Linked DNA regions of Drosophila melanogaster. The protein of the gene in region 1 purifies or fractionates together with the protein of each later gene. This does not show direct contact. Each region holds a gene or a part of one and is shown on either strand. Other genes may lie near its edges.

Region 1 (13,461 bases):
CTTGGACGGCATCTCGATCGTTTGGCGTTAATAGTTTTGTTGCACTCGCACCGTCTCGTTCTCGCCCCGGGCTCTCCCATCTCACTCCCTCGTCCGCTTTGGGGGCATATTTCCATGTTGATGATTAAATTGCGATAAATTTTAAGCAAATTGCATTTCGTGTACAACAAATTGCAGAGGCGTCGTTGCTTTTGTTGTTTTTCGTCTTGGTTTTCCTGTCAGATCCTATCGATGATAGGCCACAGATCGTAGGCGTTACGGCAATTTCCAAGGTGAAAGCTGATCAGTACCCACTCCACTGTAGCTATGTGCTCTGCAGTCCATTGGACATTTTTTACCCAATTCCCAATTTTCACATCGATCGATTTTCACAAAAGCTTATTTATTAGTTTTATTATTACATTCTAACGCCAGAAAGTATGCACTCATTTTGTAATTTAAATATTTCTCCAATCAAATATCCGAATCCAAGATTCTCAATCCTTTCACAGTGGATATGAGATGACCATCGCTCTGGACAGTATCGGGAATAAATCAAATATGTATCCACGCAAATGACACATGACAGTGAGCCAAGAGAGAGAGGCAGCAAGGGAGGGAGCGAGCGAGAGGGGGAATGGGTAAATTGCATGCGATTGAAATTGAATGGTTTAAACGGTCATTTCAATGGCTGCAATTTAACAAGCCGTAATTAGTTGATTGTTGTACCAAATAAACTTAAATCAACAACAACTGACAATTGACATTTGCATGGAGGAGCGACGGTTGAATTGAAAGGATCCGCCAAAGTTCCCCCTTTACTCGTCCTCTCTTTCCCGCGTGCATAAATAAGCAGGCGTTACAAACTGCCTGCTCACCAACACACACACGTGCACACGCAAGCCAGCGAGCTTTCCCTCTCCCTCTCGCGCACATGCACGTCACACACATGTCAGCCGCGTCGGCCATATTGTCTACCCGTCTCGCTCACTCGGTCGACCGCAGTGTGTGCTTTGTGCTATTTATTAACCTTTTATTTAATGCTATTTGCTTAAGCGTTCCCAAACGACAACAACAACAGCTACACACACGGCAACTGATGACAGGCCATCGCCTTGCAATTACCCCACTTCCCCCTGCCATCGGCCGTCTCGCTCCTTGTGTCGCCGCACTCCTCGCACTTCAATTAGAGTGTGTGCGGCGGTGTTTGTGCATGTAATTAGGTGATTGTCAGTTGGGCTCAAATGTCGCGTTTTATTTATTTGCCTTGGGGAATTGTAATGGAAGCGAAGTAGGTAAGAGTTTAAGAAAGGGTTATACTCTAAAGCGAACCGCAAGACATGCGAATCCTTAATAACGCTTATAAGAATACTAAAGCATAAAAGGTTCAAAAGTTATACAATGTCTGATTGCAAAAATGATGTATAGCAGGGACGGAACTTGTAGAAGTTTTTTTTAACTTAAAAATATATTTATTTTATTCATTCATAGCAATCATATTTATTTGGCACTTTAATTCCAACCCAGTAATTAATCGTTTTCAGATTAAATTGCTTTAAATATTCCGCCCTGTTTTTTGAAAAACCACCTCTTCGCTTTGGGCTGACAAATCAGTTGCCTCCCTCTGACATGTACAGTATTTTTCCTACTTATTAATTTTCCTCGAAAACTTTTCCACTGCTAATTGGCTGTTACGCACCACCCCTCGGAAAACCCCCTTCCCTTGAGCTCCAACAACCCCAATGGCATCTGCGGGCCAAGCCCAATCGATTTCCATGGCGAGTTGAAAACCATTTAACTGTCAATTAAATACAATTTCCACATGCCTGTTATTGATTTTTCTCTTCAAACTGTCGACAAGTGGAACAGAGTTGGGAATCGAGAAATGGGATAATGGAATGGGAGTTTGACTGTCGACGGTGATGATGATGGAGGTGGTGATGATGATTACTGCCGTCGTCACGTGTTAATTGCAATTAGAGCTACACGCTCTCAAACGAATAAATTATGCAAATTTCAATTGAGACAAGAAATTGAATGCAATCAAAACAAAATCAAATCGAATCGAATCACAACGCACGTCAAAGCACAAAATTGCACAAACGGAAAGACGAATTATGAATTTTCGCAATCAATGCCAGCTATTTGTTGCTCGGCTTGTTTTTTTGTTTGTTAACTTATGACACAGCCATGTCCATTGTTTGCTAAACGACATTAGACAAACTGGCCACAAAATCACAACAATTACAGTCTCCAATCCACATCCAATCCCCAGCCGCAACATAATAAATGCTACGATTCGATTAAAAGATCAGCTCGAATAGCAGCAGCTCTACGAACGCAAACAGAGACAAAAAGCGGCAAAATCACAACGACAGTTGCTACATTTTGGTAGCAGGAATAGCCACATCTACACTGATCATTTGCAGCGAGCCACATCTGTCGTTTAAATAGCTAGTGGGACAGCACCACGATCCTATGAGATTGACAAAAAGAGCCGCGAACCTAACGAGGGCCATCGATCCTGTTGGCGGGCCAGAAAGAGAGCACCAATCCGCGCTCCGTTCTGTTTCAGTTTCTGTTTCTGTTCTGATGTTGCTCGTTTGTAAGCTACATACATTTTTGCGCTTCGCCCGACAGCAGCAGCAGGGCCTTAGAGATCAGGCTTCAACTCTGGGTCCCCATTCTTACTCCCCAGCGCGGCTCACTTAGCTACTGCTAGCTGGGACAGGGCCGAATTCGAGGACGACGAGGGAAATCTTGTCGTAATACTACTGCCTTAAACTGGGAAAGTCATTTCGCATATAACATGAACAATTATATGTTTTGTAGTTTAGGAATCCTGCAAAGCTGCGCTCATTAGTTGCATTGAAAGCTCATTTTTTTTAATAATTCAATAGTCTTTTCGTTGTAAAATCCACAAAAAATAAATAAAAAGAAGGTTTCTCTCAATGTAATTATAACAAAAAAAAAAAATTTATAAAGCTTATTGGTATGTGTAGGTGGCGCCCGAACAGGGATGTCAATTATTCAAGTTAAAGACTAAAAATCGCACATAATAAACGTAAAATAGATGACTCCCAGTCATATACATATTCCTGATAACTATCGACTTGTGAAAAAATATGGAAATATGGACATTTATCGCATCGTACGATGTCACAGTAACATTTTTCGCTTTTTTATTTTATTTCCATTTCTTAATTCAAAATGTTGAGGATGCACCGTTTAAATTGAAGCTTTTTGTCGCCCCAACCTCCGTTTTGGTAGATCCGCTCCACCAGGAGCCCAAATCTCACTCTCTGTCTGCCTCAGTGAGCAGCTTCATTGCCGTTTCTTGCGATGCTGCTGCGCTTTGTTTAAATAAAAGCCTCTTTAAGTTTATCTATTGCCGCGCATCTAAATTGTGCGCCCAGTGGGGAGCTGTTAGGGGCGGCCGGTGGAGGAGTTAGCCGGCTCACTCGACGCGATTATGCTATTTGTTGTTGCTGTTGGCGGCGGAGCTGATGCTGCGGCGGGAAAGAGAGGCAGATAGAGGGGCAGTCTTGTAATGTTTTGCCGGCGCGCTTTGCTCTTTTGTCGTTGTCGTTGTGTTGTCGTTGTTACTTATTGCTTGCGTTGTAGGCTTCATGTTTTGATTGTATTTATTTTAGTTTGAGTAACTTTACTGCGAAGCTTTTTGTTGCTCTTGCTTGCCTTCGGTTTCCGTCCATTTCTGATGAAGATTTTCTGCGCGATTAACTAGCGAGATCGCCTTACGCTCCGCGGCGTCTTTTATGTGAAAAGCGTTTCGTGCGCGGCTTTAATCATGTCTCCTCTTCGGATGGAATCTGCAGGTAATGGCTGGGGTGAAGGGGAGCGAACGGGTGAAATCAGTTGGCTTTTCAGACATTTTGAGCAATTGCGCTTAATTTTATTCATAATTCGTGGTCTTGGGTTACCACAGTCAAACTTCTGTAACTCAAACAGCCATTTAGCACATTAAAATTTGGAGCTACGATAGCGGTAAGTCACGCAAACAGTGGTAATGATCAGTACAGTATAATTCGCTTAGCTGCATCGATAGTTAGCTGCATCGGCAAGATATCTGCATTATTTTTCCATTTTTTTGTGTGAATAGAAAATTTGTACGAAAATTCATACGTTTGCTGCATCGCAGATAACAGCCTTTTTAACTTAAGTGCATCATATCAGCTGTTTTTTTTGCCAATTTCAATGAATATCATCAAAGTTAGCTGCGCCATCTATGAATCATTTTTGCATATCTAAAAGATGGCAAGAATGCCAACTCGTTTCAGTATCTGCGCATGTCCGTTTTTGTTTTTGCTTTGATCGTGATTTTTGTGTTTTTGTTTCTTATGACACAAAGTTATTAAAATGGGTAAAACAAAGCGTGTCGTTGGACTAACACTAAAGGAAAAGCTTCAAATAATCGAGTTAGTGACCAACAAAGTGGACAAAAAGGAAATTTGTGCCAAGTTCAAATGCGACAGATCCACAGTCAACCGCATTTTACAAAAAACAAATGAAATTCATGAAGCTGTGGCCGCGTCAGGTTTAAAAAGAAAGCGTCAAAGAAAAGGAGCGCACGACTTAGACAAACAATGCGTAGAAGTTGACATTGTATCGAATATTAATTGGAATGAATATGCCAATGTTGATGCAGATGAGGCTTGCCATGGTCAATTAGATGATGATGAAATCGTGCGCTCTTTAGTTCAAGATGCAAAAACCAGCGATAACGAAGAAAGCCATAGTGATGAAGATGTGGACGATACTGAGCGTCCTACTTTTAAGGATGGGTTTGCAGCAATTAAGGCTTTAAAGTCCATTTTTATGCGAAACAATAATGATGAGTTTTTGCAAAACTTGAATTCTATGGAAGACAAGCTGTTTAATTTACATATAAACTCAGCTGTATTGCAAAAAAAAAATTACTGACTATTTTTAAGTTAGTTTTAAAAAGTGTTTTAATCAATTCACCATCACTTAAATTTATATGTCGATCTTACTTATCATTAAGAATGAAATTATCAGTTCCTTTTATGTTTAACATTGTTATAAAGAAATAAATTCTTTATTTTTCCTTAAAAAAAAAAAATTAAGTTAGCTGCATTTTTAAGTTACCTGCATCGAGGCATTGTGCAAAGTACTCGAGGCAGCTAAGCGAATTATACTGTATTAGGTAATGTTCGGGTCTTTAGGCAAATAAATGGTAAGGGTTAAGTGACAGAAGCTCGACTGTATGAAACTATTTTCTTGTACTCCATTCCTTTTCCTAATCATACTGCGTATAATTGTTTCTTTTGTCGAGGGCTGGAAATTAAGCCTGATTAATTCGTTTGTCGGTGCTTATACTATCGCAGTGTCGGCATCTGGCATTGGCTTCTTTGTAATGGTGCAACAAAGTTATTAAACTGGCTTGGATTGCTTTGCATTTCGGGGCGTGGTTCCACCAATACGATTCGAAGCGATAATAAAGCGCGGACAGCCCGAAAAACTCCATGATTCGGGCTTTATGGGTTCAACAGCAGCGATAAAAAGATCGCTGGAATTCCGATATTTTATGTCCAATCTGTCGGCGATAACGGAGAAAAGGTGCAACTTTGATAGTCGATTTCAGATATGAAATATGATACATTAACCGATTTCGGCTGTGTCACTAAAGAGGTCCGCAGCAAATGATGCAAATGAATGCAGCCATTCCTAGAAATCTTTTCGTGGACTACAACAAAGTTTTCTGATTTAATTAAAAGAGTGATCGGCATGCCCTGCACAACCTCACTTCAAACAAGGCAAACTCGTTTTCACCCCACACATGACACACACAAAAATGTCTCAAATACTTGAAAGGAAAGCTAAATACAGATTTATGAGCACAAAGCACAGCAACAATGCAGTATGTTCGCCAATTAGACAAGCCCAAGCAAACGTATGTCAAATTTTCATTGGCGGGAGAAGGGGCTACTTAAATTGGTCAGGAATGGAGGATAATTTCCATAGTACATGAACGAAGTGACTTAAATTCTAAAAATAATGTCTTATGTAAGTAATCATGAATATCAAAGTTTGATTTTTTTATTGATATCAGATTGATTAGCTTGTGGGACCAAATTTAAATTACAATTATTTTGGCATTACTAAGAGGTCTTTAAATGCCGGACAAGGTGTTCAGTAGAAACCCAGCAAGCTGATCATTATCCCCCCAGTGCTTTTGAATCTACGCCCATGATTAAGCGTATGCAATTGCACACGTATTGGTATTCATTTACGCAGAACTATCATCAATGTTGTCCGATGGGATGTGTGAAGGCAAAACGACAACAAACAATAAAACGGCGACAAAAAAGCATCAAAAGCAATTATGAAATCACGGCAGATGTTGGGGCAACAAAAATTGTGGTGGTGATTTATAAAGCGCAGCTAACAACAACAATGACATCAAAAAGCGCAAAAATGTTCGTTGTATCGGAGCAACAAGAACAATAAGTAAAAGGAAGCGAAGGAGTGAAGGAGACGGGGAAGCTGTGGCATGTGTTGTATATAAACAGGCACACACTCCATATGTGTGTGTGGGTATATAATGCTGGACGGCGGATAGGATGCCAGCAAAAAAGGACTGCAGATGCCAGACCGCAAAGAGGAGCGAAAGAAAGGGGGAGTGAAGTGATGATGATGGAGGAGGAGGGCGAGAGCAGCCTACATAGAGTGAGATTTACGACTTAAATGCTGCAGCGCATAATCAAAACGACAAGGCGCAGATGGAAATGGAGTGGAGTTCTTATCCCTATTTTCCTTCTTTTTCGCTTTTTTCTTTTTGCGGCGACGACGCACTTAATTAACAAATATACAAACACTTAACATAACCTCAACTGACAGGCGGCTGACCGTGTGCGCGAGCGGGACAACAGTAGGGCACGCCCCGCAGCCGCTGATTGGATGTTCGAAAAGCCAGAGCAGGACGGAGAGTGAGAGAGAGCGTGTGCGAGAGAGAGTTCTCTTTTTGAATCGGCTCTCAGCTGCAGCCGTCTCGCTTTGCTATTCAGTTCGCGAGAGAATCAGTTGGTCGGCGGTTCGTAACAGCGCACGTTACGTTTTTAACGGACGAGCGGATTAACGTCGGTATCGACAAGTTTATCACCCAACCCAAAAACCAATTGTCAATCGAAGACGATAGCGCGGCGTATTTGCCAATCCAAGTGATATCTTTTGGCTGTGGTTAATGTTTTTAATGCTTTCTGGCTGCCCTGAAATGCCGTCGGCTTTTGGTCCCTGTGAACTTTCGAGCTGAAGACCTAAGCCCTCAAACTGATGTCCACCTTGGCCAGCACTCGACCGCCCCCGCTCAAGCTGACTATTCCTTCCTTAGAGGAGGCAGAGGACCACGCGCAGGAGAGGAGAGCGGGCGGAGGTGGCCAGGAAGTAGGTAAAATGCATCCGGATTGCTTGCCCTTGCCGCTTGTCCAGCCGGGCAACTCGCCCCAAGTGCGGGAGGAGGAGGAGGACGAGCAGACGGAGTGCGAGGAGCAGCTGAACATAGAGGATGAAGAGGTCGAGGAGGAGCACGATTTGGACCTGGAGGATCCGGCCAGCTGCTGCAGTGAGAATAGTGTCTTGAGTGTGGGCCAGGAACAATCGGAAGCAGCACAGGCTGCGCTATCCGCTCAAGCTCAGGCCAGGCAGAGGCTTTTGATCAGCCAAATCTATCGACCGTCGGCATTCAGCAGCACTGCTACCACTGTTTTGCCGCCCAGCGAAGGTCCGCCCTTCTCACCCGAAGATCTCCTGCAACTGCCTCCCTCCACTGGAACCTTCCAGGAGGAGTTCCTGCGAAAGTCCCAGCTGTACGCCGAGGAGCTGATGAAACAGCAGATGCATCTAATGGCCGCCGCCAGGGTGAACGCTCTCACGGCAGCGGCGGCGGGAAAACAGCTGCAAATGGCAATGGCGGCGGCGGCGGTTGCCACAGTGCCCAGCGGTCAGGATGCACTGGCTCAGCTGACGGCCACGGCATTGGGTCTGGGACCCGGTGGAGCGGTGCATCCCCATCAGCAATTGCTACTGCAAAGGGATCAGGTCCACCACCATCATCACATGCAGAATCACCTGAATAACAATGAAAATCTGCACGAAAGGGCGCTCAAATTCAGCATAGACAATATCCTGAAGGCGGACTTTGGTTCCAGATTGCCCAAGATTGGTGCTTTAAGTGGCAATATCGGTGGTGGCAGTGTAAGTGGGAGCAGTACTGGCAGCAGTAAAAATTCTGGAAATACCAATGGCAACAGATCTCCCCTAAAGGCGCCCAAGAAGTCGGGAAAGCCACTGAATCTGGCTCAAAGTAACGCCGCCGCCAACTCGAGCTTGAGCTTCTCCAGCTCGCTGGCGAATATATGCAGCAACAGCAACGATTCCAATAGCACCGCCACCAGCAGCAGCACGACGAACACCTCGGGGGCACCAGTGGATCTGGTCAAGTCGCCACCGCCAGCGGCAGGAGCGGGTGCCACAGGAGCATCCGGTAAATCGGGCGAGGATTCCGGCACTCCCATCGTTTGGCCAGCGTGGGTCTACTGCACCCGCTACAGCGATCGTCCCAGCTCAGGTGAGTCCAAGTCTCTTTAAAAATTTTGCTTCAGTTATCTAAGTTGTCTAGCGAAACATAAGTACAAATATTGATGAAATAATATTGTATATTTCTACGTTTAACGTACTTTTTATGAACTTTGTGAATGCAAATATAGTTTATGAAATTACGTTTTGGTGTTTTGAATACTAATCTTCATAAGCTTGAAAGAAAAGCCTTTGGTTTCAAGTTTTCTCGTTAACATACGATTCTCCAGCACCATGCCAGTATTATTATAGATATTCTGTAGTAGATCCTGGCAAAATTTATTTACTTGCATATGTTTCTATGGATATTTCCTGCATTTTCTAAAGCATCTTACATCTTATGCTAAAGCAGTGCACTGCTAGTCACTCACTCTTTCTCCAAACTCAAACACACTCGAGGAGACGAGCTGTTGAGTGGTGGCTCATAAAGCGGTTGTGCAAACAAGCGACAGACACCACAGAAGAGCCGGCGAACGGAGCCAAACCACAGCAACCCACAGCTCATTAGTTTGCCAACCACCGAAATGAAGTGAGTGCGAGCGAAAGGGAGGCGAACACTCACCCCGAAGTGAAGTGTCTGCTCGAGTGGTTTTCATGTCCTTATGGCTTATGTAACATAACTTAAGCTCATTATGCCGCTACACCCCACCCACCCCGTGTGTGTTTTTGTGTGTGCAGCACCACCCCAACCCGTCGAGAACAACCCCAAAACAATCTCCCAGCAATCATGGCACTCTCATGAATTTAGTTTATGCCACCGCAGGGAATTCGTAATCGTTTGCCTAATAATTTCATGGCTGAAATTTGGGGGGGAATCGGATGGGTGGGAGTGCCCCATATGCTCATTTATGGGGTGGCTTATTGCTGTTTGAACAAGCAATTCGGATTCCTTGATAGTTTTTGGCTAATCCCCTGGAATCTCGGGTAAGTCCATGGATCATGTGGTTCAAGTGGCGAATGGAGAGTGATTTAAGCCACTTGATGGCAGTCATTTGGTTAAGGTGTTTACCTTTATTAGCTTGCTCAGCTAGTTTATTATCGGTAATGAATTGCCAAAGGTTTACTCAATAGACTGAATGCATTTTATCACAGATACTTGATATTATAACACAATATTAAAACGTTTAAGACCTTACTAAACTTTGGTGTTCAACAGAGTAGTTGACAATAGCATTATTCAATTACAATATCAGCCTTAAATGGGCATATAATTACGAGAGTTACTTTATCTTTAACTAGTTAAATTTAATTGCTTTATTAAGTATCATTGAATGCAATTTGTAAGATTGCCGAGCTCAGCTGTTTAAGCACTTACGACAGTTTTTAGCCAATTATCCACACGTTTTATAGATCTTAATACACCAGCTTGAAGAAAGTAACGTTGAAATATCAGTAAATAATTGTAATTCATCCATCAAAAGTCGTCCCTTCTAACTACCTGATTCCCAATTACACAACTTAGAAGCTTGGCCCAAATAAACTCGGATCCGAATAATTCCTTGGCAATTTACTCATTACGCTGATGGATGTCAAACTCATATTTATTTAGAGAGTTTTGGGGGAGTCTCGTTACTGAATCCCCAAAAAAAAAAAAAAAACGAATACCGAGTGCATAAATCTACGCTTTTGGGTGGGTTTTGTCGCGCTCGCTAATTAACTCGAAACGATTTTGGTTGCTCCCCTCCACACAGGCCGTCTCTTTCGCTCTGCAGTCGCCCGTCTCACTCGCTCCGAGGTTTTAAGGTGTGTTTATTGTTGTGGTGGCTTTTTCATTTTCTCAGTTTCATTTTTAGGTTTTTTTCCAAGCGCTTTTTGTATAAATTTAGCGTGACTAAAACGAGATCTCGATCTCAGTGCGGTTCCATAATTTGAATGAATGTTGTAGGCGATGGCGTCGCTGGTCCTCCGATTCGGAATCATTTTCGGAGTGGCTATATGCGCTATATGGGCTATATGTACGGAGTTGGCTTGTGACTGCAGCTGCTATGGCAAACAATGATTTAGCGTGAGATTTGAGCCAGTCAGCTACAAAATCGGCGAATTAAAATGCCAGCTCGAATAAAAGTCATAAATTTGTTGCTTTTGAAAAATTACTGCTGCCGTTGTCGGGAAAAAATATTCAAAGTTTTTATAATCCACAACAAAGGTGTTAATTTGACAAATTAATGCAACATATTCCGTGTGCGCGTAGGCGATTAAAACAGTTGCCAAAAACGTACATTCGACAACAAATTAGTTAATTGCACTTAACGGCCATTTGTGGGCCACATGATATATGGCTAACATATGGGAAGCTGTCGGACTGCATATGTGCCGTCTATTTGTGCGCCATTTTCGATGCAGATTAATGGCATTGTATTAAAACCACAAAAAGCATTTGATAATCGATACAAGATTGCGTTCAATCTCAATAATTGCCAGGCCATATTTTATGATTTTTATTGGAGCATGAGCCTGAGTGGGAGTGGCTCTATTTACTGCTTTGATGTAGCAATTAATTATGTTAGATCTAAAGGATAAATAAATGTGTACTCAATCCACTGATAAAAAGATGTGGTATGTTTTTTGCTTCGACTTAAACATAAACCGCATTTGTAGAATAGGCCATAATTAACTTATACACAGTGGGCACTTTTTTGTGCCTCCCTTTGGCAAAAACGTAATAACTTATTGAGGAGTATCATTAAAACCTAGCTAAAAAATGGCAAACCCACTATATTTAATTACTGGATACATAGCCTTATTTCAGATAAAAAGTTTATTTCTGTATCTCCCTTAAAAGTGAGTTACAAAATAGTGGGAAAAAATGTGAATGATCAGTCATATGTTTGCCTATTCATTACACATTTGTGTACCCAGCTCCGCCCACAACTGTTTTTACTGACCCAGCTTTTACTTGACTCTTCGGTTCCCTTCTACAAAATAGACATTTCTGCATGGAATGACTTGGTTGGGACCAGATACTCACCTCTTCCTTCCAAGAACCCCCATCCTGACCTTTGCCTGCCGTTGGTAGGCAATTTTCGCATTTGTCCGGTACTTTGAGCTCATTTAACCAGTAGCCGAGACAGCGACAAGCGGGAAAATTAAGCGGGAAAGGGGCCAGCGGGAAAACGGGAGCGACAGCGATCGCCACTGAACCATTAAGTAATTTTCAATTTGCGCAGAAGACGCTTTCCGAGCAGCCAGAGAAACAGAAACAACAACAATGACAACATAAACAAACGAATTTCAATTACACCGTCCTGCAATTACCCCCCTCGTTTTCAGAAAAGCCTCCGATTTTCTCATCTCCGTGCTCTTGCCGTTGGAAAATTGCTGGAAAAGTTTCTTTGGCTGCGCTGCCTTTGCATGTTCTAAATGGGAAATTTACTTAGGAAATTGCTCTAAACAAAAGGTGGTGAAGGGGTTGGAAGGAGCAGGTCCAATTCGTTTTTTTTTATCAGCGAAATGGTATGAGTGTTTTTCTGACACTTTAGTAAGTGGCAGTACCTCTTTTATTTTTTTTTTATCAAAACGAGTTAGTTAGTTTAGATTAAATAACGTAATTTTCAGCCCTGTTTCTATTTTAATTTAATGCATAGAAATTTATTGAAGACAAACTGTACACGTTCAATTAAAACTTAATTTAGTGATGTTATTTCCATCCATAAACCTGCACTCCCAACCCTATATTTTTGAAATTATGCAATTGGGCCAATTTGATACCGAATTATGGACTGAAATTATTATTGGCAACCATCAAAGAACTCAATCAATGATAGGAGCACGTAAAGTTTCTTAGCCAAAACGATTTTACGTCTGAAGTGCGCAATTTGCGTTGGAAACGCAACAACAGCACCAAGAACACCGTTGTTTATGACCCAAATGCATTCATAAATATGCGAGGCTGTCACGTCATATGATAATCACGATATCCAGAGCCTCGAGGAGAACTCGGGTCCGCTTTTCCCACTCCCTTTGGCCGCCAAATTGAGCCATTGAGGAAAATACTTACCGGCCTATGTGTTAGCCGCTTTCCTGGCAAACACTTTAAGAAAGCTCTATTCGTGGATAGTGAGTGGTTAGATAGGTGAAAACTATTAAACGAGCGCACTTTAAACGCTCACTCAATCACTTTTTGGTGCTCCGAGAAGAGAGGCTTATGTGGGTCAAAAGCAATCCGAACTCTAGAATGAACTACACCTTGAAGAGAACTAAAGTTGGTTAAAGGATAGGATCAGCTCAGACATCTTATTACGAATTCAAAGTTCATACCATAGATGGTACTAGGGATGGGTACAAGAAACAACCATATGAAATGTGTCAAAAATGTTAACTACCTAGGAAATGGTATTGTCTTATACTCCTTAACTTATTTTATAATCGTTTATTAAGAAGTTTGGCTTAATAATCAAACTGTGTACTTAGCTTACGCACTTTTGTTTGAAGACGCATTTTCCTGCCGTGTAGGATGGGTGTTAGGTAGAAAAGGCAATGGCAATCAACTGCGGCGATTTATGAAGTGACAAAAATTAATTTCAACTGTTAACTTATCGCACAACCAACAAGCAACACACAACAACAACAAGATAACAATAACAAAAACGAACTGCGGCAACAACTGTAACAGCAACTACAACAACAACAACTAGTAGCGCCTTTTAAGGCTTTGGCAACTGCAACTGCCGCAACTGGAAAAAGCAGCCATGCGCCTTGGTAATAAAACTGTCAGACCCGCAGCCCCAATCGCCCCATGCCCCTTGCCCCCTCCCCATATATATGTACAAATACATACATATATATATTTTTTTTAAAACTGCGGCACGATAACAGCGGCAGCAGCGAAAAATGTCGTTTAAACTGTGACTGGACTGCTGACCGCATTTG
Region 2 (12,235 bases), on another chromosome or scaffold:
ACGAAAAACATAATTGCCGGTGTAGGCGTGTAATTGGATGACTCATATTTTGTGCACTGCGTTCTGTTTGTTGTTATTTCAATTAGCTACCTATGTATGTATAATGAACTATAATATCCGGCTTCAGCATAGTTTTCAATCGAATAACCAATACCCAGCCTCCCCAAAAACCGAGCCCACACTAAAAAAAAAATTGGGAGACAACCGAAACGATCCACAAACATAATTCACCTGCACCACGCATATCCCAACGATTGATATAGCAGATATACGATGAGGAAGTAGAGCGGAGGGAAAACTAGGAAACTAGATCGGAAAAAGGACATGCAAGGACAACAAGACAAAAGAACTACATAAAACAATACAAAACAAAACTTGCTATACAAACGTATATATGGATATATGATATATATTTACAGTATAGAGGACAACGATCTAAATCTAATGTTCATGACAAAGCGATATATATATATACATACAAAACATATAGAGAGATGTATAAGATTTTGCATAGATATTGTGATTTCCCAAAAACAAAAAAGAAAAACTCAAAATAGTCAATAACAATGTGGAAACTGAGAAACCAAACGTAAACCAATTAACTAAACTAATATTTCCTCCTTTGTCGTATGAAATAAAAAACTAACTAAAGTGTTCATCAGTGGAATTTTCGAAATAATCGCTCGTCTTCGATGACAGAGCTTAGACTTCGATAGCGATAGAACCACAACAACAAGAACAACAACAACAACTGCACTGCCTGTGTCGGGTTCTATTTTACATTTACATCTACATTTACAGAATCATAAGAATTCACACACTCTAATAAGCGCCAGTCGGAGGAATTCAGAATTGAAAACTCAGAATGCCGAAAGCTAAACAACATCCCAAGCAAACATTTTGAAACTAATAAAGGTAATTTGCACAATACTGTGATTCCTAGCAAGAAACAATGAGACACGATGAACAATTAACGATAAACGCTATTAATTATCGACTTTTGTGTGTTTGTGTGGTTTGGAAATCGATGTGTTTGTATTGTACGTATATTTTTCACAGCATGCTGAAAAATGTTTGCAACAAGAACTATTTATCTAACCACTCAGTAATATCCAACTTGATCAATTTACTTGCATATGATTATTACGATTATTATTGCTAACCAAAGGCCCAAACAATAACTTAAATATAACGCAGAATGAAATCGAAAACAAATGATAAAACAACAAGAATACAAAGTACTTTTTTAAAATGAGTTTTTAGCGAATCAAATATAAACTTAAGATTTAAAAAAAAATTCGTATACAACAAACAAGCATAAATGATAGCAGCGTCTACAAAATCCACAACCAGATCAGAAAAAGCAGGAGAATAATCAAAACGAGAAAATGGAGAAAAGGTTATCCAGAAAAATGATCAGAAAACGTGTAAGCTGTAAAACCTATAATGAGAAATAAACTATAGAAACTATATGAAAAGAACAAGTCTTAGGCATTTCATTCCCCCCCACAGTAAGTATTTTAAATGATGTACGATTTTCTTAAAGATTTATGGTACACACTTTATTTGAAATGAATTCATCTTAAACATATGATTATGATATAAGTAAGCTACGCACAACTGATGCTCTAAACATTCGGTTTTTTCGATTTAGAAAGAACTTTGGCAACCAACTGCTATGGTATCTTAAACAATCACATACATATATTTAAATAACAGTTGCTCGTTGCGCCAATTCCCTGGGCTCTCCTCCTCCCCCTCCTTCTCCTCCTCCTCCAGCGGCTGTGTGGCCTTGTCAGCTTCTCGCTCCGCGTCGCCAGGACAAAAAGCACCTAGTCCATTACCTGGAAGTCAGGCTAAATGCCCCGCCTGACTGGTTTGGGTGCGAACAGCACCTTTGCCGGCTTGCAGAGCTCCAGTTCGCTGCCGGGACGCACGGCCAGGCACAGTTGGATCTCCACCAGCGACGACTCCGTCCAAACGCTGTGCGACAGCAGGATTGTGGTGCGCAGGCGCACATTGGTCTTGTGCTCGCCCTGCTCCGTCATAATGGGCTTGAAGTCACTCTGCTTCGGCACCACGGTGTGCATGTGCTGGTCCGGATACTTGATCTTGATCCGCATGTCCGCCTTCTGGGACTCCAGCAGATTGTCGATTTCCGCAACAAAAGGAACGGCTGCTATCAGGCCAGCCGTGACCTTAATTACATTATCCTGCGATTGCAGCGGACACGGCTCAAGGATGTTGGCCACACAGCGGCGTATTTTGTCATTGGCGGGTGGCAATGCAAGCGGAGGAGCCTGCTGGACCAGCGGCAGAATTTCGCGAAAGACGCGACCCGGCTTGGGATCCGATATGCCATCCAGTTTGATTAGCAGCTGGCGGGTGAAGCTATCCGGCTGGGCATCCCTACTGACCGACTCTTTCATGGGCATATCGGTCTCTACCACCGGTGGCTTCTCCTCCTCATCCTTCGTATTCGCCTTGATGAACTCACTTATATCGCCGGCGGTTTGCAAAAGCATCTGGCACGGGCCCAATGCACTCTGTGAGCGATCCCTGACCACGAGGACCAAGTGAAGCGCGCAAGCCCTCAGGCGCAGCTGCTTCACCTGCAAGATATCGCCGTAATTGAGGCCGGAGAAAGTGTGCTGCAGCTTGAGACAGTTTCGGATGAGTGCTGCCAGTGATTCCTTCAAGGGCACCCTGCTTCGTTGCGTGCTGGCGCAACGCTGCATCTGTTCGATCTGGATCTGGGCCGCCAAGAAGGTCTCTAGAAAGTTTGAGGTGCCGTACATGCCCGCATCAATGGATCCCAGGCGCTAAAGTTTATTAAAAAAAAAACATAGTAAACATTAGTGTTCATTTATATTGTAGTAAGCCCAGCGGGCATACAAACCTGCAGATTAGATTGGGCAGTCTGGAGCAGCTCCAAGCGCTCGTCAGTCATGGTGAAGATCTCTTCGATGTGACTGAGAATCATCTGCAGGTACTCCGCCGAACTGCCCGCTTGGTGCATAGCCGAATCGATCCTGTGCGTCGCACTCGCCGAGGACGCACCCTCAATGGGCAACTGGGGCACCAGATTCGGCATCGAGTCTCTCAGATAGGCGTAATGGCGATGGGTGGCCGTGGGCAGCAAACTGATAATGGGCACCAAATGTTCTGCAGCATTGAAGACAAGTATCAGAACGCACAGATACGCTGGATCCTCGACATCGCGTTCGGGCGTCTCGAAAAAGGGATGCACGTAAAGCAGGTGAACGGCGACAGCCATCACCAAATGTGGATGCTTCTGGCCAATCTTGCGCATGCAGGCATAGGTGGAGTTACGATCCTGTGGATACTTGGCCAGCACATCTAGCAGCTTCTGCACCACCATTAGCAGGCACGTTTGTGTGGACACTCTACAGGCGCCCAGCATGAGATGTAGTCCCTCACGCACGTCCACGGAGTAATCCTCAAGCGATCCAAGCATTATCTCCAGCTGATCCTCGCGCAGCACTATGTGCTTGGCAATGGCCGTTAAACTATAGATGGCCTTCAGCCGCACATCCTCGATCTCATCGTTGAACATGTCCACAAGGAAATCTAGGCTGGTCACCGCGAAATCCGGTCGAGAGAGGGCCAGCTTGCACATGGAGGCCACTGCCGCAGTACGCACCTCGAGGAACTCATCCTCTAGGCCATGTATAAGGGCGCCACAGGCGCCGCTGGCTATAATTGAGATGCTCTGAGCATCGAGGTGCTCTTGCGGCGCATCGTCCGCCCACCGTTTACCCGATGACCACTCACCGCTGGCCACCAGGCGAGCACCTCTCTCGTGCGCCGTTCGCTTCCGGCGCAGATTGCTCATCAGCTTTTTGTCGAGTGTCTGGTGTAGGAACTCCCTGCTTACGGCGGTCATCCCACCGAGCAATTCCGCTGCGAGCACGCGAATTTGCAGCGATAGATCGCACAGGGCTTCGCAGACCTTGCTGAACGCAGCGTCTATCATGCGCAGCTCCTCCTGCTGGCGGTCCGAGGGTAAAATGTAGTCCGGATGCCGATTGCCCAGCATGAAGACCAGCTGTAGAGCTTCCTTGCGCACACACTCGTAGTCATCCTTCATGGCCTCGACGGCACGCTTATAGAGCACCGCCGGCAGTTGGGATCCCCGTTCGCCGAGGGTCAGCAGGGCGTGCAGAGCCTGGGCACGAACGCTCGAGTCCTGCGAGTCGATGTAGAAGGCTAACTTCCATACGTAATGACGCTCACCCTCCATTTTGGTGGCAAAACGACCGATTACCAGCATGGCGTTCTTCTGCGTATGCGCCGAACCGGAGCGCAGCTGCTCCTTGGCTAGGTGGGCCACCTGGGTTTTGTACGATATGGGCAACATGTGCTTCCTGCGCTCCCCGATTCGAAACAGGCACATCATGCCCTGGGCGAGCACCTTTTGGGACACCTCCTTCCTCAACAAGAAGATAAAGTAGTCGATGATCATGGTAAGCGCCTGCTCGGTGGCACACTCGCAACCCAATCCGGACAGCAGCTCGAGCAGCTTCACCCGGATGGAGGTGTCGCTATCGCGTTCCTGCAGCTGATACAGTTGGAAGATCTTGCTGGCCACCTCCTTAAGCTCGCCCATTTCCACGTCCTCATAGGATATCTCATCGGTTATCTTGACCAAGAGCTCCAGCAGTTCCCTGCTATTCGCGGCCGTCATTGGGGGAGCTCCAGTCGCCGCAGCCGGCGGATTTCCGATGACACCTGTTGACGGGGCTCCCGTCGAAGCAACTGGTGTCCCAGTGGGCAGGACCAACGCACCGGCGGGCAGGTTGCCCACATAGGCGTCCAATTGGTTGAGCGCCGTCAGCTTGCGCTCCACATTGCCCACTTTTCCGGATTTCCCGCCCTTGGCATCAGCGGCCAGCGTTTGCAGACGCAGCTTCTTCACCGGCGGCGACCCGTCCACCGTTTCCACGTAGGTGCCTACGCGCTTCTTAATGGCCAGCGCCATGGTTTCCTTTTCCTTTGCGCGATTCAACCAATGCAGACTAGAGTTGCACTCTTCCACCTGGTTTAGGTAAACCGCAAATTAGAGATGGCACACCACTGATGCCAACCACCCGCCACTAGCGATGGCATCGTGACCGCGCAAGAGGTTCTTGCTGGTGGATAACCCATAACTAAATAAATTGCTTTCACAAGAGTGATAATGCTAATATCACCAGGCATTTAATAATTATATTATTTTAAAAAAATGTGTCATTTAGTAATCATATAAAGAAAACGAGGCATATTTTTTGGACATTTCACTTTGAAGGCGTGAAACATCGATAGTATAGTGAAAAATCGATGTTTTCTTTTCGTCTTTTGTTTTGCTCTCGCTCTTCTCCATGAAGTGATAACTTCTCAACAAAGTGATGATGATCCATCAACCACTATTTGGGTATTCATCCTCAATTCGGATTGATTCGCCCGTAAATCATTACTTATATTTAAATCCTTGTTTCTACTATGTCATCTCACATGGGCACAGTTATGATTTCTCCACGCTCAAAACGGACAAGGGGTCATCATCTACCTTGCCCTTCTTTTTGGCTGCGCAATTCTTAACGCATCTCATGGCTTTGAATAAGACTTTTTCCGAGGGTAGCGTCGGTTCCACCTGACCGATGGCGTCTGTAGTTGGGGATAATTATTGAATGGATCACTAAAAGTTGGATGTCGAGCACTAAACTTACTCATAAGCGAACGAAACAGATGTTCGTGATCTTTTAGTCTTTTCTTTTTCTGATTCCCATCAATATTGTAGTTCAGAAGGATGTCCTCGGAGAAAATGAGTCTTATGGTGCGGCTTAATCTTCCCTGGCGCAGGAATTTCCGCATGGAATTCGTCTGATCAGGGATCATATAAGTACAACTATATAATATTCTATTGATGGAAAAGCATGAGGAAGGAGAAACTTACATAGATCCCCCTGGAGTCCTGGCTTATCTTGTGATTCACTTCGACCAGATCCTCCTCATACATAATTGGAAAATCATCGTCCGGATTTCCCTTCGCCTTCGGCTTGGTCGTTTTCATCGACTGCTTAACGAATTCCGTAAGTGTCTTAACCGCCCTCGTCAAGTTTTCGATTTCTGCGCGCTGCGACAGGACTTGGGAATTGAGTTCTAAGTGGGTTAGGTAATGTAATATGATCCGGTGTTATAAGATATGTATGTCACAAACATACCATCTATCTTTGTTAGCAGCATGGCATTGGCTGCGATATGACTATTCTCGGTGGCGAGGCAAAGTCTCTTGATTTCAGGCATTGCTTCGTTAATTTTTAGCATTAAAGTGAATACATATGTATATTTAGTTTATGAATTGAGGAAAGTCCCTAATGGAAGCGATTCGCTTCGCTACACAGTTAAGCTCCAAATGGAATTCCTCGCTGTTTCATCATTGCCTTCGCTAGGCGACGAATGGGAAAGTAAGGGCACGGGCAAAAACTCCCTCTTGCTCATCACATATGAGTAACTGGTGAATCAGTGATGACGACGTCTGATTAGCGGCGGAACTGTACAGTAGTACAGAGAACATGGTGAAAGCCAGAATATCGCATGACAACCAATCGCATAAGCCACAGGATAAATAATACTAATTGTTTATAATAATCACAATGTTTTTAACGAATTTAGTTGGTGATGCGTCCTGTCAGTTGAGTAGGTGGGAATAGCATGGACTTTCCCCAAATAACAAATGCTAAGTTGGGTTTTTTTAAAATTGATTTAATACATTTTTTTTATGTTACAGTTAAATTTGAAACTATATTTAACAAGCAATTTGGATGTCATCGATATTTTGTAATAGGACCATTCACTTAGCGGAGTCATCAACCTTGGCGAATCTAGCGAGCACATCCACCTCTCGCTTATCAGGTCTATCGATAACATCGCTCATCAATCGATTCGTGAACCAGCTCTATCGCGAAACGGTCGCGTGTTCGCACGCAAATTGCAATATAAATCCACAGAAATTGACAGGGAACGTTGCTAAAGGGCGAAAAACAATCGTGCCGCGATTGAGGCCTGCGATCTGCACAGGAAATGCACAATTGCGAAGCGCAATTTGATAAATTCGGTAATGTTCGATTCTCGAAAGAACCAGTCGTGTGCGTCTGTATGTGCTTCAAATGTCACTCTGTGTGCGGGTGTGTGGGGAGTGCATAAAAGGCATAGAGGCAGCAAGGAGTGAAAGAGAGAGCTCCATCGGCAGCGCAACGAAAGTGAGCGAGAAGCAGAAATTGTTAGTGCTTATAAGGATATGTGAGAAGGGAGAGTGAGACAGTAAGAAAGAACGGAAGAAGCAGCAGCGACGCCGACCGACAACAACTGTAATTTTCCATTAATTTTTGGGCGGGTTTTGTGCTGCACAATAATACAACTGGCATAATATAACTTGGCTTATTTTTTATAACCAACATGTGTATTTTGTTCACGTTTTGCTGCGTGTGTAGGTGTGAGTATATGTATGTGTGATAAACTTGAAATACAACGCAATCGCAACGAGAACCAAAACTTGTCAAGGTAAAACGGCTAAAAAAAAAGAAGAAACGAATTGTGTGTGAAAAATTCCAACTGAATTACGCGAGAAATCATGTGAAGAGCAGTTCGATACGCATGTGTGTGCGTGTGATAGAATACGAGGATGAGAGCGGGCGTGCGTTTGGAGTAGTCTGCTTAATTGATTTTCGCTTAATTACTGCAGCGGTTGCATAAATTAAATGTTTACATTTGCCCCGGACAGTGCTGTAAAGAGAGAGAGCCCTTCGAAGCCAGGTGGCAACACCGAGGCCCGTCTATCGATATCCACTGCAATTAATTACTCCGACTAATTTCAGCCTCTGTATGTTTTTTGCCGGTTAAAACAATAAATCGCTCTCTCTTTCTGCCTTTCTTCAATATCACTTCGCCCCGCTCTCTCACTTGCTCTCCTTGGGTCGTTAGCCAACACTGGCGAACATTAAGAAAGTGTTAATTTGCCTAAAATGTACAAGTACATGTGCGCGATGGCCTGCTGTAAATGTGTGTGGGTGTACGGGAGTTTTCCTCTGTCAAATGCAACTAAGTTTTTTTTTACCGAAAATTCAGCCAGCAAATGAAAATCGTATCGGGTAAAATATGCATTAGGTGTAGGTGTGTGCGCATTTAGCGGTTTCTCTGCCCATCTTTCTTCTCCCTTTTTTCTTATTGTATTATATTTTTTTTGCATAATCGAAGCCGCCTTTCGGTACATGTGCATGTGTGCTGTCCCGCTCCCACTCCCACCCCCATACTACGGCCACCTGTACGCCCTTGCACACTCACACACAAACGCACACACCCAACAGAGTCACACGCACGCTGCACAAAACTAGAGTAGCTATCAGTGTATTGGTGCGAGATATAATATCACTTGGGAAGTCATTTATTTGCGGGTCTCGGAGTCTCGTGAGCTGTTTTTCCTTCTGTTTTTTTTTTTCGAATTGCTTGTTGTTTTTATTGCATTTTGATTTGCTTTTCGTATGTGAAAAACCTTTTTGTTGTGGCCCATTTTTGTTTTTTTTTTTTCTAGCGCGTGTGTGTATGTGTGATTTTTCGCGCTCTGAAAAACAATTTTCGACTGGCGCCTTTAAACGCTTCAGCTGCAATTGGTTTGCAAAAAGGAGTGAATAAGAGCGCTCGCTTGAAAGTGGTGGGAGGGAGGGGATGTGTGAGAGAGCGGGGCATTTCTATTTGTAGAAAAAGAGCGCATAATTTGTAATAGTTTGCCATTTACGCTTTCCATTTTGTGTAAAATGCATGCAAACCCCTTTTAAAGAGCAAAAATAACAAGAGCAGCACCAACAACTACTGTTACTATTGTTTCCTTTCCTTCAATCTCAACCCCATTCCTTTGTTTATTTATCTCCCCGAGTTAACCTAAAACCTGTACATCAATAACAGTATTTTGATATCAGTATTTATTTGATTTATCAAATTACTTGAAGTTGACTTAGGATTATTATAAACAATGAGTCCCAAACTGGTTAAAGCCTCGAAATACAACTGCTGTAGATTATATCGAAATGTATATGGTTGTACTTAGTGAACAAATGGAGGGTATTTGTTCTTCCAGAACTTTCCTAATATAAGCCAATCTCTCTCTCTTCGCAAAACTGCGAACATTGGCATATTTATTGAGTGATAAGTTAATAATATTAATCAAATTAGGTGTTCTGCCTTGTTTCACATTAATTGTTAACAAATAAGATTGACAAGTCTACCTACTATACCAGAATATACCGAAATTAAAATGGCAATGACTTTAGTGTAATATTGTGATCATAACTGAGAATTCTATTGTTTTGAACCGTTAAACGTATGTAGAGGTAGTAGAATAGGATACGCATAACTCCTACTCCGGTAACTAATTAACATTTTTCGTGACACTCTTTACAGCACTTGAATGCTGACAGCATTCAAAGAGGTTTAGTCCCGGCAGCGACTTTAATTAATTTTTCCCTGTGGAGCACAAAGATCACATCGGATCTATATAGAGTCACGTCTATATATTCAGACCACCAGGACGCAGAGGATAGAGGTGAAAGGACGAAGCGAAGGAGAGACGCGCGCCCCCCTCGTTTCCCGCCCAGCCAACAGCCGTGTGAACCCGTCTTGAATGGATCCATTTGTTGGCTGGTTTCAGAAGGAACAGGAGGGACCATCGCTGTGCACATGGTTAAAGATTTGGGAGACGAATGCCCAAGAGATGGGCGCATTGCTTAATCAACAGCTACAGCAGGCGACGACGATCAACGGGAGCACGAGCAGCAGCAGCAGCAGCAGCAATAGTGGTAACAACAACAACAACAACAACAATAACATCATCAATAACACTATCACCAACACGACCAATAACACTGGTAACAATTCATCGGCCAAACCCTACTTATCGCGACCCTACAGCTCGCTAAATCGGGTGCTCAATTTCCGAGCGGATTCCCTGGAGATCCTGCAGCAGCAACAACAACAGCAGCAGCTCAACGGGACCACTCAGCGCAACAGCACCAACATCAATACCACAAGCGGCGGCAGCACTAGCTCGTCGGCAGATTCCACCACGAATCGGGACAATAACTCACCCGCCAATAGCAGTTCAACCAACGGACCCGGAGCAGGAACGGGAACGTCAACAGGAGCAGGAGGTACCGGTACAAATAGTCCGGCGACGACAGCGTCAAGCACAGCTGCGACCACGACTGGTCCAGCCACTAGTATGAGCGACACCAGCAACAACCCGCCACAATCAACGACCACGCCCGCCAGCCGCACGAACAGCATCTACTACAATCCATCGCGGAAGAAACGACCGGAGAACAAGGCTGGCGGAGCCCACTACTATATGAACAACCATATGGAGATGATCGCCAAGTACAAGGGCGAACCGTGGCGCAAGCCGGACTATCCGTATGGCGAGGGCGTTATCGGGCTGCACGAGGAGATCGAGCATTTCTATCAGTACGTCCTGCCCACGCCCTGCGAACACGCCATCCGCAACGAGGTGGTCAAGCGTATCGAGGCCGTTGTCCATTCCATCTGGCCACAGGCAGTAGTCGAGATCTTTGGCTCCTTTCGCACTGGCCTCTTTTTGCCCACCTCCGACATAGATCTCGTTGTGTTAGGTGAGTGAAGGGACGGTACTAGCTTTTTAAGTGGCCCCCACATGCATTGACTTTTTATTTATGCATTGGCTTTATTATCTTATCCTAATCTCTTCAATTTACTTTCAGGTTTGTGGGAGAAGCTGCCGCTGAGAACGCTGGAGTTCGAGCTAGTGAGCCGTGGTATCGCCGAGGCTTGTACGGTGCGTGTTCTGGACAAGGCATCAGTGCCCATCATCAAGCTGACGGACCGGGAAACGCAAGTGAAGGTAGACATATCGTTCAACATGCAGAGTGGTGTTCAGTCGGCGGAGCTGATTAAGAAGTTTAAGCGCGACTATCCAGTGCTGGAGAAGCTAGTGCTTGTGCTGAAGCAGTTCTTACTACTTCGCGATCTCAACGAGGTGTTCACGGGCGGCATCTCCTCCTACTCGCTGATCCTTATGTGCATCAGCTTCCTGCAGATGCATCCGCGCGGTATCTACCACGATACAGCCAATCTGGGGGTGCTTCTCCTCGAGTTCTTCGAACTTTATGGACGTCGCTTCAACTACATGAAGATCGGCATCTCCATAAAGAACGGTGGCCGCTACATGCCCAAGGATGAGCTGCAGCGTGACATGGTCGATGGCCATCGACCCTCGCTCCTGTGCATCGAGGATCCGCTGACGCCAGGCAATGATATCGGTCGAAGCAGCTACGGCGTCTTCCAGGTGCAACAGGCATTCAAGTGCGCCTACCGCGTGCTCGCCCTTGCCGTCAGTCCGCTCAACCTTCTCGGCATCGATCCGCGCGTCAACTCGATACTGGGTAAGTGATAGTCACGCTCTATTAGTTAATTAAACGAAAAAATACAAATATTTTAATGCAATCCAACAGTTCACAGTACAAAATTGCACATAGCTAAGCAATGTTTACTGCTGGACACGTTGATAACAACAATTTTGTTATATGCGCGTATATACACTAGTTTCGTGGAATCGATGTGGATTTGTAATGGTCTCCTTTGTTCGCTAATGCAGGTCGAATCATTCACATCACCGACGACGTGATCGATTATCGCGAATGGATCCGCGAGAACTTCGAACATCTGGTGGTGGTGGATCGTATCTCGCCGCTGCCCACTGCCGCTCCCACTGCGTACGCCACCGCCAATGGGGCGCCAAAATATGTGATTATGCCCTCGGGCGCCGTTGTCCAGCAGCTGTACCATCATCCGGTGCAGGTGCCCACCGCTCACGGGCACAGCCATGCGCACAGCCACAGTCACGGGCACGCGCATCCTGGCGCCCATCTGTGCCAGCCGTATGTGACCGGGACCACTGTATCTGCTGTAACGACGACTACAACGATGGCGGTGGTGACCGTGGGCGTGTCAGCCGGCGGAGTCCAACAGCAGCAACAGCAACAGAATGCGACGGCCCATACCCACTCGCAACAGCAGACACAGAACCAATCGCAGTCGCGCCATAGACGCGGCAGCACCTCGTCGGGCGATGACTCCGAGGATAGCAAGGACGGCGATGTTGTCGAGACGACGTCGAGTGCTCAGGAGGTCGTTGACATCGCGCTATCGA

What was found.
Region 2: the proteins of inv (region 1) and CG12112 purify together in Drosophila melanogaster (affinity purification with mass spectrometry, with the first as the bait; one large-scale study listed by BioGRID). This does not show direct contact.

What each region holds. Positions count from the first base shown.
Region 1 is NT_033778.4:11,468,686-11,482,146, forward strand, and holds the start of inv (invected), read left to right. Parts: upstream 1-7,022; 5' UTR 7,023-7,290; coding exon 7,291-8,584; intron 8,585-13,461. UniProt on the Drosophila melanogaster protein: Engrailed (en) and invected (inv) are functionally redundant transcription factors in neuronal precursor cell NB5-3 specification.
Region 2 is NC_004354.4:8,553,697-8,565,931, forward strand, and holds CG12112 (uncharacterized protein), read right to left. Parts: upstream 6,497-12,235; 5' UTR 6,328-6,496; coding exon 6,225-6,327; intron 6,163-6,224; coding exon 5,957-6,162; intron 5,884-5,956; coding exon 5,730-5,883; intron 5,668-5,729; coding exon 5,525-5,667; 3' UTR 5,183-5,524; downstream 1-5,182. Other genes in the region: IntS4 (integrator 4), read right to left, coding at 1,857-2,822, 2,900-5,002; Trf4-1 (topoisomerase related function 4-1), read left to right, coding at 9,677-10,679, 10,788-11,468, 11,681-12,235.